Arabidopsis thaliana: one gene and its partner. The protein of the gene in region 2 interacts with the protein of the main gene of each other region in a pairwise test. Each region holds a gene or a part of one and is shown on either strand. Other genes may lie near its edges.

Region 1 (4,543 bases), on a different chromosome or scaffold from region 2:
GTTCTAGTCCCTAAAGCCAGAGTTGTAAAACAACTTAAAGGTAAAGTTCCCAGTCATTTCCATGTTCCTATGCAACTATACAAAGAAAGTTGTTTACAGTTATGTGGCACTTGTTCAAGTATGTTTGTATAAACTGAAATCTGGGCTGATATGTGTAGGAGAAGAATCATGGAAGGACTTGGTTCAGAACCCAGATAAATGGTGGGACAATAGAATCGACAAGGTAGGATACCAATATCTTTTGCTCGGTTTTTCATCAATCTTTCCAAGAAACTGACCTATTGTCCCAATATCGTTTTTGTTTTGAAGAGAAATGCAAAAGCCCCTGATTTCAAGCACAAGGAGACAGGTGAAGCACTGTGGCTAAACGAGTCTCCTACTTGGGTATTACCGAAACTGCCACCAGTCAAGAAGAAACAAGAAAGTATTGTCTTTTAGCTTTAGAAACATTATCTCCATGTAAAGAGCTCCAAGTGTTTACAAAATTCATCATTTCTATTCAAAGTGGTCTTCAAAGTTCCGTTTGATTTTTGGTTAGTAGACTGAATACAGTAGCTACAAGTGTGGACGATTCCAAATGTCTCAGGTAAAGCAAGCATATTAGGTCTTAAAAGAACTTCTAGAAAGAGTGTTTCAATTTCACAAGCGCAACCAACAACGTTAACAAGCTCAACTTAAGAGAAAAAAGGACTAACTATTGTCTTACAAAGTAGAAAGATGACTAAATACTATTTACTGTAAAACTTAATAAAAGGCCTTTGACACTTCTCTCCTTATTCAGCTCAATTCACTGCAGCATGCTCTCTGTCTAGTACCTTCTTCCCTGTGGAAACTGAAACACAGGACCATCTCAGTAACAAATATGGGGAAAATGGGGTACTTTAATGCCTGATGAGGATATCAAAAAAGAAAGATGCAAGATTCATTATTGATCGAGATCTTACTTGGTCAGACCCGGGCTGGCCTGCTGGATTATTGTTGTTCCAGTCTCGATTCCTCTGATCTGCCTGTGGGAATGTCTGATTCTGCTCTTGTCCTGGTCCAGAATACCCCTGACCATAGCCAGGATTTCCAGCTCCAGGTGCAGGACCTAAGTTTCCAGCTCCAGATGCAGGACCAAAGTTTCCAGCTCCCTGTGGATTGTAATTCCTAGGTCCTCCTTGGTTGTAACCACCTTGTGGCCCTTGACTATAGTTCCCAGATCCACCTTGACCGTAACTGCTTTGTGTTCCTTGGTATGGAGGCACTGGAGATCCCTGGACTTGATTGTAACCTGCCTGATATGGAGGCACTGGAGATCCCTGGCCTTGATTGTAACCTGCCTGATATGGAGGTGGTGGAGATCTCGGGCCTTGGTTATAACCTCCTTGAAATGGTGGAGGCGCTTGAGTTCCCTGACCTTGTCCTGGAGTGGCATAGCCCTGTTGAGGACCATAGCTCCCTCCACCACCTTGCATTGGTGGTTGCTGACCATACTGTGTGTTTCTTTGGAAGTTTTGGGGACCACCACTTCCTCCTCCTGAACGGTCAAATCTAGGACGAGGTCTTGCTCTGCCACTCTGAATCGGTGGTGGCCTGTGTGTTATCACTCCATTCTCGTATTTATCTCCTGAAAACAAGAAACATAATTTTGTTGATAGAGTCCCAACAACAAATATCCAAAATAAGACCAGTTTGTAAAAAAAACCAGCTCACCTCCATACTCTTTGTTCTGGGGATCAATGTAGGAATCTGGCAAGATGAAAACCACTCCGGGTAGATCTGTTTACATATACCAATAACAGAGTCAATATCTGGTGAAAAAAGTTGAATTCAAAAGAAAACAAACATAAATGATTCGAACTATATACCCTTGAACTTTTCTGATTCTTGTTCAGTCATGATTGCTTGAAATCCTTGGTAAGTAGTTGTGCTACAAGCATACATCCTTTGCTTAGCCTCTTCCACGCTGACTCAACCATAAACACCAAAAATGAATCAATATAATCGTCTTAACCAATATCAATACCAGAAGAAGATACACAAAAATCAAAGCAGAGCTATATAACAGTGAATGGAACCCTAGCAATGGTAAAGTTCTCACATTTAAGTAACTTACTGAATGATTTTTGGACAATTTAGCCAAAAGCAACGAATCTAAGCAGTGACAAAAATTCATCTACTAACCTGATGCCAAGTCCTTGGGCGCAAGTTTCTTCATAAGCAGCGACCATTTCTTCTGGAGACTTAGGAGTTTCCTCTTTGGAGAAATCCATAGTGATAAGCCAGTGATTATAATCACATCCTTCGAACAACACAGTGTCTTCCGTGATCTCATCACCTTCTTTGTAAAGCTTGTACTGCCTCGTTGAAAACAGTCTCGCCGGTGCTCGAGTAGCTACTTCCGTCGAACGCCCTATAACGGATCTCTTTAACACCGCCGCCGACACAGAAGGGAAATCAGACGCTGGTGTGATCGAAGAGCTAATTGATCGGTTAACATAGGAAGTCGCAGTGAGTAAAGCTCGTCGGAGACGGTGAGATATCATAGCCATCGTTGCCAGAGAAATTATGAAGGAGTGGAGAGTATTCTGGAAAGCTTTGGAGAAATGAAATTAGGGTTTTTGTGTGGGTTTTACAATATCTAAATAAATAGTAAATTACTTTTTAAGTCCTTATTGTTTCAAATGTTTTTAGTTTCCGCCTAAAGTTTCAAATTTATCACTGGGCCAAAAAACTTAGGCCTTAGCTTTTTACTATACCGCTGTCGTTTTATAACTCTCTGTTTGTTTCTTCTTCTTCTCCCTCTCTATTTCCGGCGACTGTGAATTATGTGGTCGGCGACGTTATCTTTCCCTTCTTTTGTGGCTTCTTCATCTTCTCTACCTAATTACAGGAACCTTAGGTTTCCAAAGATTAAAGCTTCGCTCTTTAATTACCCTCTAGCGAGCAAAATCATGGTCAGAAGTAAGATTCAGATTATCTTTTGGTTTATATTTGAATTCGCTTCTAGCTGAGATTAGGACATGGTTCTGTTATTGTTCCAAAAGTAATTTATGATTCTGGTTTGATTGAAATTAGTTGATTTGAGTCAGGATTGTGACGGTAGTCATATGTGATAGCTCTAAGCTCTTGTAGCAATCATTAGTGAAGTTGAAGTTGGTTGTAACTTCAACTTGGTAATTACTCTACGGTTCTGATGTTTCTTCACTTTGAATTTGTAGATTTACCGTTTTCTACAAGTGAAGATTTTCTAAAGAGAGAGTTTTCAGCTTTTGGAGAGATAGCTGAAGGTATGTTTGCGGTTTCAATTTTACTCTGTTTTGTTGCTTTAAGGTTCAGTTTTATGGCATTGATATGTTCACTCTTATACTTCAAAACAGTTAAGCTTATCAAAGATGAGGCAATGAAGAGATCAAAAGGTTATGCTTTTATTCAATTCACGTCTCAAGATGATGCTTTTCTTGCCATAGAGACCATGGACCGTCGGGTAAAAGCTTCTTTCAATCACAAGTTTACATTTTTATGTCTTGAAATCAACCTAAATGTTTCCCATTCCTCTGTTGCAGATGTACAATGGCAGAATGATTTATATAGACATTGCGAAACCAGGTAAACGTGATTTCCAAGGACTGCCTAGGACTTCTGGTCCACCTGAGAAGTCGGATGAGCCAGAAGAAGCCGCTAATGATGAGGTTGCTGATTGCTGGTATTAGTTGTTAGTATCAAGCTCACCAAACTGTAACTGAACTTGTATAAATCAGATGTCAAATCATGCTTTCTTATTAGGAATATGATCAATGTGAAGAATGTTGTTTTACTGATAAGCAATTATTGACACGGTTCCAGTTACAGCTCTATCGGTTTCTACAACCACCATATTGTTGGAGACATTGGTCACTGCATTTGCAGGGATCTGTCCGGATTGAGCGAAAAACGAATGCTGGTAATGGTTTATCCGGTTAGGGAATACCAAAACAGGGGAAAAATCAGCGATCCATCGTGTTCCATTTGCGGAAACCATGGCCTTTCCGGTTGTTGATTTCAGCATCATCCCTTCTGCATTGTTTTGATCAATCACAACTTGATTAATATCATGAAACTCTCCTTCTAGCTTGACAATCGGGAAGTTGTTTTTGGCGGTACCGCTAAACATGTTGTTGACGATGTTTACACCGGAAATCTTCCCGTGTACCGATCTCAAGACGATGTTTGCATCTCCTAAGAACAAAGCATTGGTGACATGAACATGGACAGGGTCTTCTATGACTATACCTGTGTAATCAAGGTAACAATTATCTATCCTCGTTAAATGTGATTTCACTAGAATGCCAATGCCACCAAACCATGTAGCTTTATTGTAGCAATGCACACCCGTAACCATATTTGCACCACCATTCAAAGAGATACCGATACCAGCCGAGAAAATCACTACATCCGTAATGGCATTGTCGTTACTCGAGATATCGATTCCTGTCCCAGTAAATCCTCTTTCTTCTCTGTCTCCTCCTACCGTTGAATGTTGCCCCAAGAAGGAGTTTGAAATGTATGTCTCATGACCTCC
Region 2 (5,697 bases):
AGGTTATCTGGGACATTATGCGCTGCTGGGTAAACTAAGTTGATGAATTTGTAATGTGACCGTGTTTCATCTTACCAGGTCTTCTTTTTGATGGTTTTTTCTTGGGTGATATTGTAGGTGAAGAATCATCCCATAAAGGCGCAATCGCCTGAACAACCCGGTAGTGTGATCTTGTCCAAAGAACCATCACATGAGGTCTTTTGCTCGCTTTCTCTGAATTGTTTGAAACTGAATAATGTTTTTTCCAAGCCTGAATCTTTTCTTTTCGATTCTGTCTTGTGTTTGGACAGGTTGATTTTTCGCGTCACATTGGTTCGCTGAGCAAGGCACAGGCAAAGAAAGTAGCTCGTTTTCTGCCAAATCCAGAGAAGCATTGGGGTCCAAAGCTTAGGGCTGGTCGCCAGATTACGAGCAAACATGTATCTCTTATTGGTCATGAAGCAGTCAATGGTCATCTTAGCCAACACCATGAAGAACTTAAAGAAGAAGATGAAGAAGCAGAGCCAGAAGATAATGTCCAAGACAAGGTTGATCCAAAACGCCAGAAGACAGCAACAGATAATATTACCTCAACATAATAAGACAAATCACAAAAAGTTTTACAAAATAGATCAGATTTTGTCTACAGTCAGATTTGCCTCCTGATGAAGAACTCTGTTTTGTCTGTTGTTTCCTATATAATCATTTTTGGTAATACTTGAGACTTATGACCCATTTTTGTGATTCCTTCTGTTGTGATCTTATTAGTTTACTCATCTATAGCTTAACCGAACCAAACAGTAATTTAGTACCATGAAGAACTAAAAGAGGCAAAAGAAGCAATGTATAACAAGATATTGAAAGTAGATAACCACTTCTGATCATCATTAAATGAAGCAATATCATAGTACTTGAACAAACAAAACTACAACTATACAAACGCTGTAAACAATCTATTTGTTAAATTTACTTTTAATACAAAATTGTTTAGCAGTAACACCATTGGTCCTCTTCTTCTACTTCAACCCCACGCACGAAAGAAGAATCATCAAAAGGTTTCATTTCACTGTAAATCAAACCAAGCTCTTCGTAAATCTCTTCCCATCTAGGATGAGCCTTATCTCCAACGAGAAACACATGAAGCTCATCTTTTAGCTCAACCCAACTGCAACCAGGCTCCTTCTTAAGCTTAAAGCCTCTCATATTTCTCCTCAAATCTGAAACCTTTTCCCACATTCCTGCATCTGCGTATACATTTGATAAAAGTGTATAAGCTGAAGAGTCTTGTGGATCCAATCTCAACAGGGCAGCAGTTGCTTCTTCTGCAACCTCTACATTGTTTCTATGTATCGTGCAGACTCCTAACAGGGTTCTCCATATGACATCGTCTGCTTCAAATGGCATCTCTCGAATAAGCTCTAATGCTCTCTTGACTTTTCCGGATTTTCCTAATATATCTACCATGTTCGAGTAATGCGGTAGCTGAGGATCCAGGCCATAGTCTCTCTTCATCATATAGAAGTACTCGAGCCCTTTGTCGATCAGACCCATGTGAGCACAAGCTCGGAGTATCGATATGAAAGTAACGTGATTTGGTTTGATGTTTTCGAGTATCATTCTCTCAAACAGTTGTATAGCTTCCTCTCCTTTCCCATGATGTGCATACCCGCAAATCATGGCGTTCCAGGTCACGAAATCTCTTCTCAGCGACTTCTCAAACATCAATCTTGAATCATGGAGATCTCCACATTTCGAGTACATGTCAACGAGGGTGCTACAGATATACACATCAGATTGCAATTCTTTCTTGATGACCTGAGCATGAATCTGTTTACCTAATCCAGCGGAAGCAAGATTCGCACAGGTATCAAGAACTGTTGCATAAGTAAATTTGTCAGGAGTTATACCCATCTCCATCATCCGGGTAAAAAGCATCTGAGCATCCTCGCTTTGTTCCTTCATTACATATCCGGAAATAATTGAATTCCATGAAACACACATTTCCTGCAGTCTCTTATTGTGCATCTTTTCAAGCTCTTCCATTGTTCCCGAGACATTGGCTCGTTGAAAGAATCGACTATGTATCTTCTCCGCCTCTTCTATCATTCCACACTTTGAATACATATCGATCAGAGAGCATCCGACAGAGGAGTTTGAAGCCATTCCTGATTTGACAATGCTGGAATGGATCTCCATACCGTAACCTAAAGAACCACCAGTGCAAGCTTTCAATATGCTTCCAAAGGTAAACTCATCAGGTTCGATCCTAGAACGGAGCATCGAGACAAAAAGAAAAAGCGTTTCATATCCTTTTCCGTTCTGCTCATGTGCAGCTATAATCGCATTCCAAGACACAGCGTCTCGTCTTCTCATCTCATCGAATACACGAAAGGCTTCAGCCAGAGCTTGACATTTCCCATACATGTCGATAGCAGCATTTGCAACGCAAACATCTAGCGATAAGCTGCTTTTTATCGCCAAACCGTAAATCTGAAGCCCCTCTGAAAGTCCTTTCACCAAGGCACAAGCCCTGAATACTCCTGATAAACTTATCTCGTCGAAACCAAGACCCGATGACATGAGTCGGTGAAACAACAGTAGAGCTTTGAAACCATGTTCTTCTTGCGAATAACCAGTAATCATTGCGTTATAAGATTGCCTATTAAGATTTTCTGAGTTGTCAAACAAAATTTGAGCATCTTGCATATTATCACACTTTGCGTACATGTCCAATGTCGCCGTCCTCACTATACCATCTGCTGCAAAATCTGACTTCAAGGCATGAGCATGTAACTGACCGCCTAACCTCAATTCGGATAACGCAGCACATGACCTCAAGACGCTAGCGTAAATTGACTGGCTCACTCCAGCATTTACCTTTTGCATCTCCTTGAAAAACTTCAAAGCAAGGGACAACAAGTTATTCTGAACACAACCTGCGATTATAGCACTCCACGAGACAGAATTCTTCTCTGGTATACCTTGAAACACTCTAAGAGACTCGACAAACCTCTTGCCTTTTGCATACATATCCAACAACGCACTCGCAGCAACCACATCAGTATCACAACCCACTCGAACGACAATCCCATGAATCTGCATTCCTAAACTGGTATCCTCTAAAAAGGAACAAACTTTAAGAATAATTGCAAAAGTTCTACCGTCAAACTCAATACCTTCTCTCCCCATGTCAACGAAAACCTCGATAGATTTCAAACTCTCGCCGTTTTGCAGATACCCAGAAAGCATTGAGTTCCAAGACACAACATCTCTCACAGGCATCATATTGAAGAAAGAATTCGCTTTAAACATGTCATTACTCTTCGAGTAACCATTTATCATTTTGTTCCAAGAAACAACATCTCTCAGCGGCATTTTGTCGAACACCATAGAAGCAGACACGAAATCTCTTGAATTTGTGTAGACCTGCAGCAAACAGTTCAGTACGAATGTAGTCGGACGAAACCCAGATATTATCATATGAGCATGAGCTTGCTTGCCTAGCTCTAACGCTCCTTGCTTCGCACATTCCTTGAAAACAAACGAAAAGTTCGTCGTGCTAACTGAGTTCACTTGATTCAGAAAATCAGTGAAATAAGAAAAGCTTGGAACTCTCCGGTATGAAATTTTCTCTGTTAGACAACGATTGAATGAAACCACTGATCTGGTCATATGCAATAATCTGAGACTCTCCGCCATGAGTCATAACGAACTGAAACTCAGTGGTATCTATGGCGGGATTGAAACGATTACAATTGCTTCGGTTCGGTTCACTCGGTTTGAAAAATATATAAACCGACTGACTAGGCACTAGCTATATTAATCAAGCGGTTAACACGCCACGGGGAATCCAGTTTGGACTTTTACTATTCTATTAAATAATTAAAAAGCATTACCAGATCAACAAGGTCGTTGTAGTATAGTGGTAAGTATTCCCGCCTGTCACGCGGGTGACCCGGGTTCGATCCCCGGCAACGGCGTAATTTTTTCATCGTTTGTCTTAATCCACCTGCAAATACACGTCATCATATTATATCCTTTGTGTAGACGAAATCATACGATTTTTCCCTCTGAAATTTCCTTTTTCCTTTTTTGTCTTTTTTTTTTTTAATTAATTACTTTTCTCTGAGACACAGCAATGGCGTCGACGAAGCCCGATTCCGCAATCAACCTTGAAGAAGAGGCTGAAGGCGACGGTGTAGCCGTAGACGATCCGATTTTCATACCGGAGACCACGAACTTACTCGTCCGTTACTCGCCATTCGACGACAGGGACATCGATTGCAATCCTTATTTCCCTTTCACAGGCCCGATTTCAGATTCTGGATCAGGTTCTTACTCGGATTCTGAGCCCGATCCCAACAGCTGTCCCATCGATTTCTTCGATCGAGATTCTTCCGATGTTGACGTGGCTGAGTACTTGGAATCAGGAGGGCTGACCGCCGGTGATTATAATATTTGGGGCTTTTATGACCCCAAGGAAGACGAGGAAGAGGAGGAGATAGTTTTGGGGACTTCCGGGTCGGATCTGCAACCGGGTGATTCAGGGGAGCAAGGGCTTCGAGTGACCGGTATCGATTCAGATTCCGATTGTGAAGATGGCGTGTTTGATTTTATCTCTGAGGATAGTAGCGGGAATAGGGGAAATGATTCGGGTCGGGTCGAGGTTGGTACGGGTCTTCCTCCTGTGTGGGATCATCTCTTCGGAGAGGGAACCGTGTTGGCTGATGAAGAATGGGAGGAGGTGCAGAACGCGATTAACTGGACAGCTTTTAGTGGACCCGAAGATGAGGACGAAGAAGATGAATTGTCTTCACTATCAAGGGATGATGAAGAAGAAGATCATGAACTGGACTGGCAGGTTTTGTTAACTGTTAACAATGTTGTTAATTATATCGAACAAGCTGAAGGAATCATGCTAAACCCTGATGATATCGATCCGGATTATTACCTGTATCTATCTGGTTTGGATGAATTTGATGAAAATCATAGTGGACATTATGATGCTGATGCTATTCTTGGGCAAATGTTTGATGACGAGACTGGAATCAGGGGAAATCCTCCAGCAGCCAAAAGTGTAATTCAGGATCTTCCGGTTGTGGAGCTTGCTGTGGAAGAGTTAGACAAAGGGAACAATGTTTGTGCGGTATGCAAAGATGAAATGTTAGTGGAGGAGAAAGTAAGGAGGCTTCCTTGTAGTCATTTCTATCATGGAGAGTGTATCATACCTTGGTTGGGGATAAGGAATACTTGCCCGGTTTGTCGGTATGAGCTGCCTACTGATGATCTTGAGTATGAAAGACATAAGAGCTCAGAAAGGGGCGATACTGGTTTGGCAAGGAACGTGTTGCCGGGTAGATATAGTTAATTGAATATTTGAAGTGATCTATTCTTCAAGTTAATAGACATGGTTTCAGAGGCAAGATCCTTGAACCACTTTGTTTATGGTAAGCACTTATCGTGAATGTGATAATGTTTAAGTTGTATATATTCCTTTTGTTTTGTGAAATAAATCATGTTAAACTTTGAACCCTTATCTTGAAGTGTTTGTGAAGTTAATCCATCTTTCATAGTTGTTCTCGTTGAAGATCAATCATGGATTTATAACTAAGCTTCTTACTTCATTAGTTATTGACAACTCTTAAGCTAGTTTTGCATGATCTGGATAGATCTCTCAAGGTAACCTTTTTGTAATGACTTTTATTTTACAGACCCTGA

Evidence for each region. The genes of interacting proteins can lie anywhere in the genome.
Region 1: the proteins of AT3G02330 (region 2) and MORF1 interact in a two-hybrid assay, tested with the Arabidopsis thaliana proteins (one study listed by BioGRID).

Annotation. Positions count from the first base shown.
Region 1 is NC_003075.7:10,843,552-10,848,094, forward strand, and holds MORF1 (multiple organellar RNA editing factor), read right to left. Parts: upstream 2,597-4,543; 5' UTR 2,535-2,596; coding exon 2,167-2,534; intron 1,949-2,166; coding exon 1,851-1,948; intron 1,762-1,850; coding exon 1,696-1,761; intron 1,610-1,695; coding exon 882-1,609; 3' UTR 851-881; downstream 1-850. Other genes in the region: PTAC9 (plastid transcriptionally active 9), read left to right, coding at 1-40, 159-223, 310-438; AT4G20030 (RNA-binding (RRM/RBD/RNP motifs) family protein), read left to right, coding at 2,811-2,946, 3,204-3,272, 3,363-3,469, 3,549-3,695; AT4G20040 (Pectin lyase-like superfamily protein), read right to left, coding at 3,797-4,543. UniProt on the Arabidopsis thaliana protein: Involved in organellar RNA editing. Required for the processing of numerous RNA editing sites in mitochondria. Binds to the mitochondrial MEF19 and MEF21 factors, two pentatricopeptide repeat-containing proteins involved in RNA editing.
Region 2 is NC_003074.8:472,915-478,611, forward strand, and holds AT3G02330 (Pentatricopeptide repeat (PPR) superfamily protein), read right to left. Parts: upstream 3,749-5,697; 5' UTR 3,679-3,748; coding exon 967-3,678; 3' UTR 860-966; downstream 1-859. Other genes in the region: AT3G02320 (N2,N2-dimethylguanosine tRNA methyltransferase), read left to right, coding at 1-29, 118-195, 291-578; AT3G02340 (RING/U-box superfamily protein), read left to right, coding at 4,118-5,347. UniProt on the Arabidopsis thaliana protein: Involved in C-to-U editing of mitochondrial RNA. Required for RNA editing at 8 sites in 6 different mRNAs in mitochondria.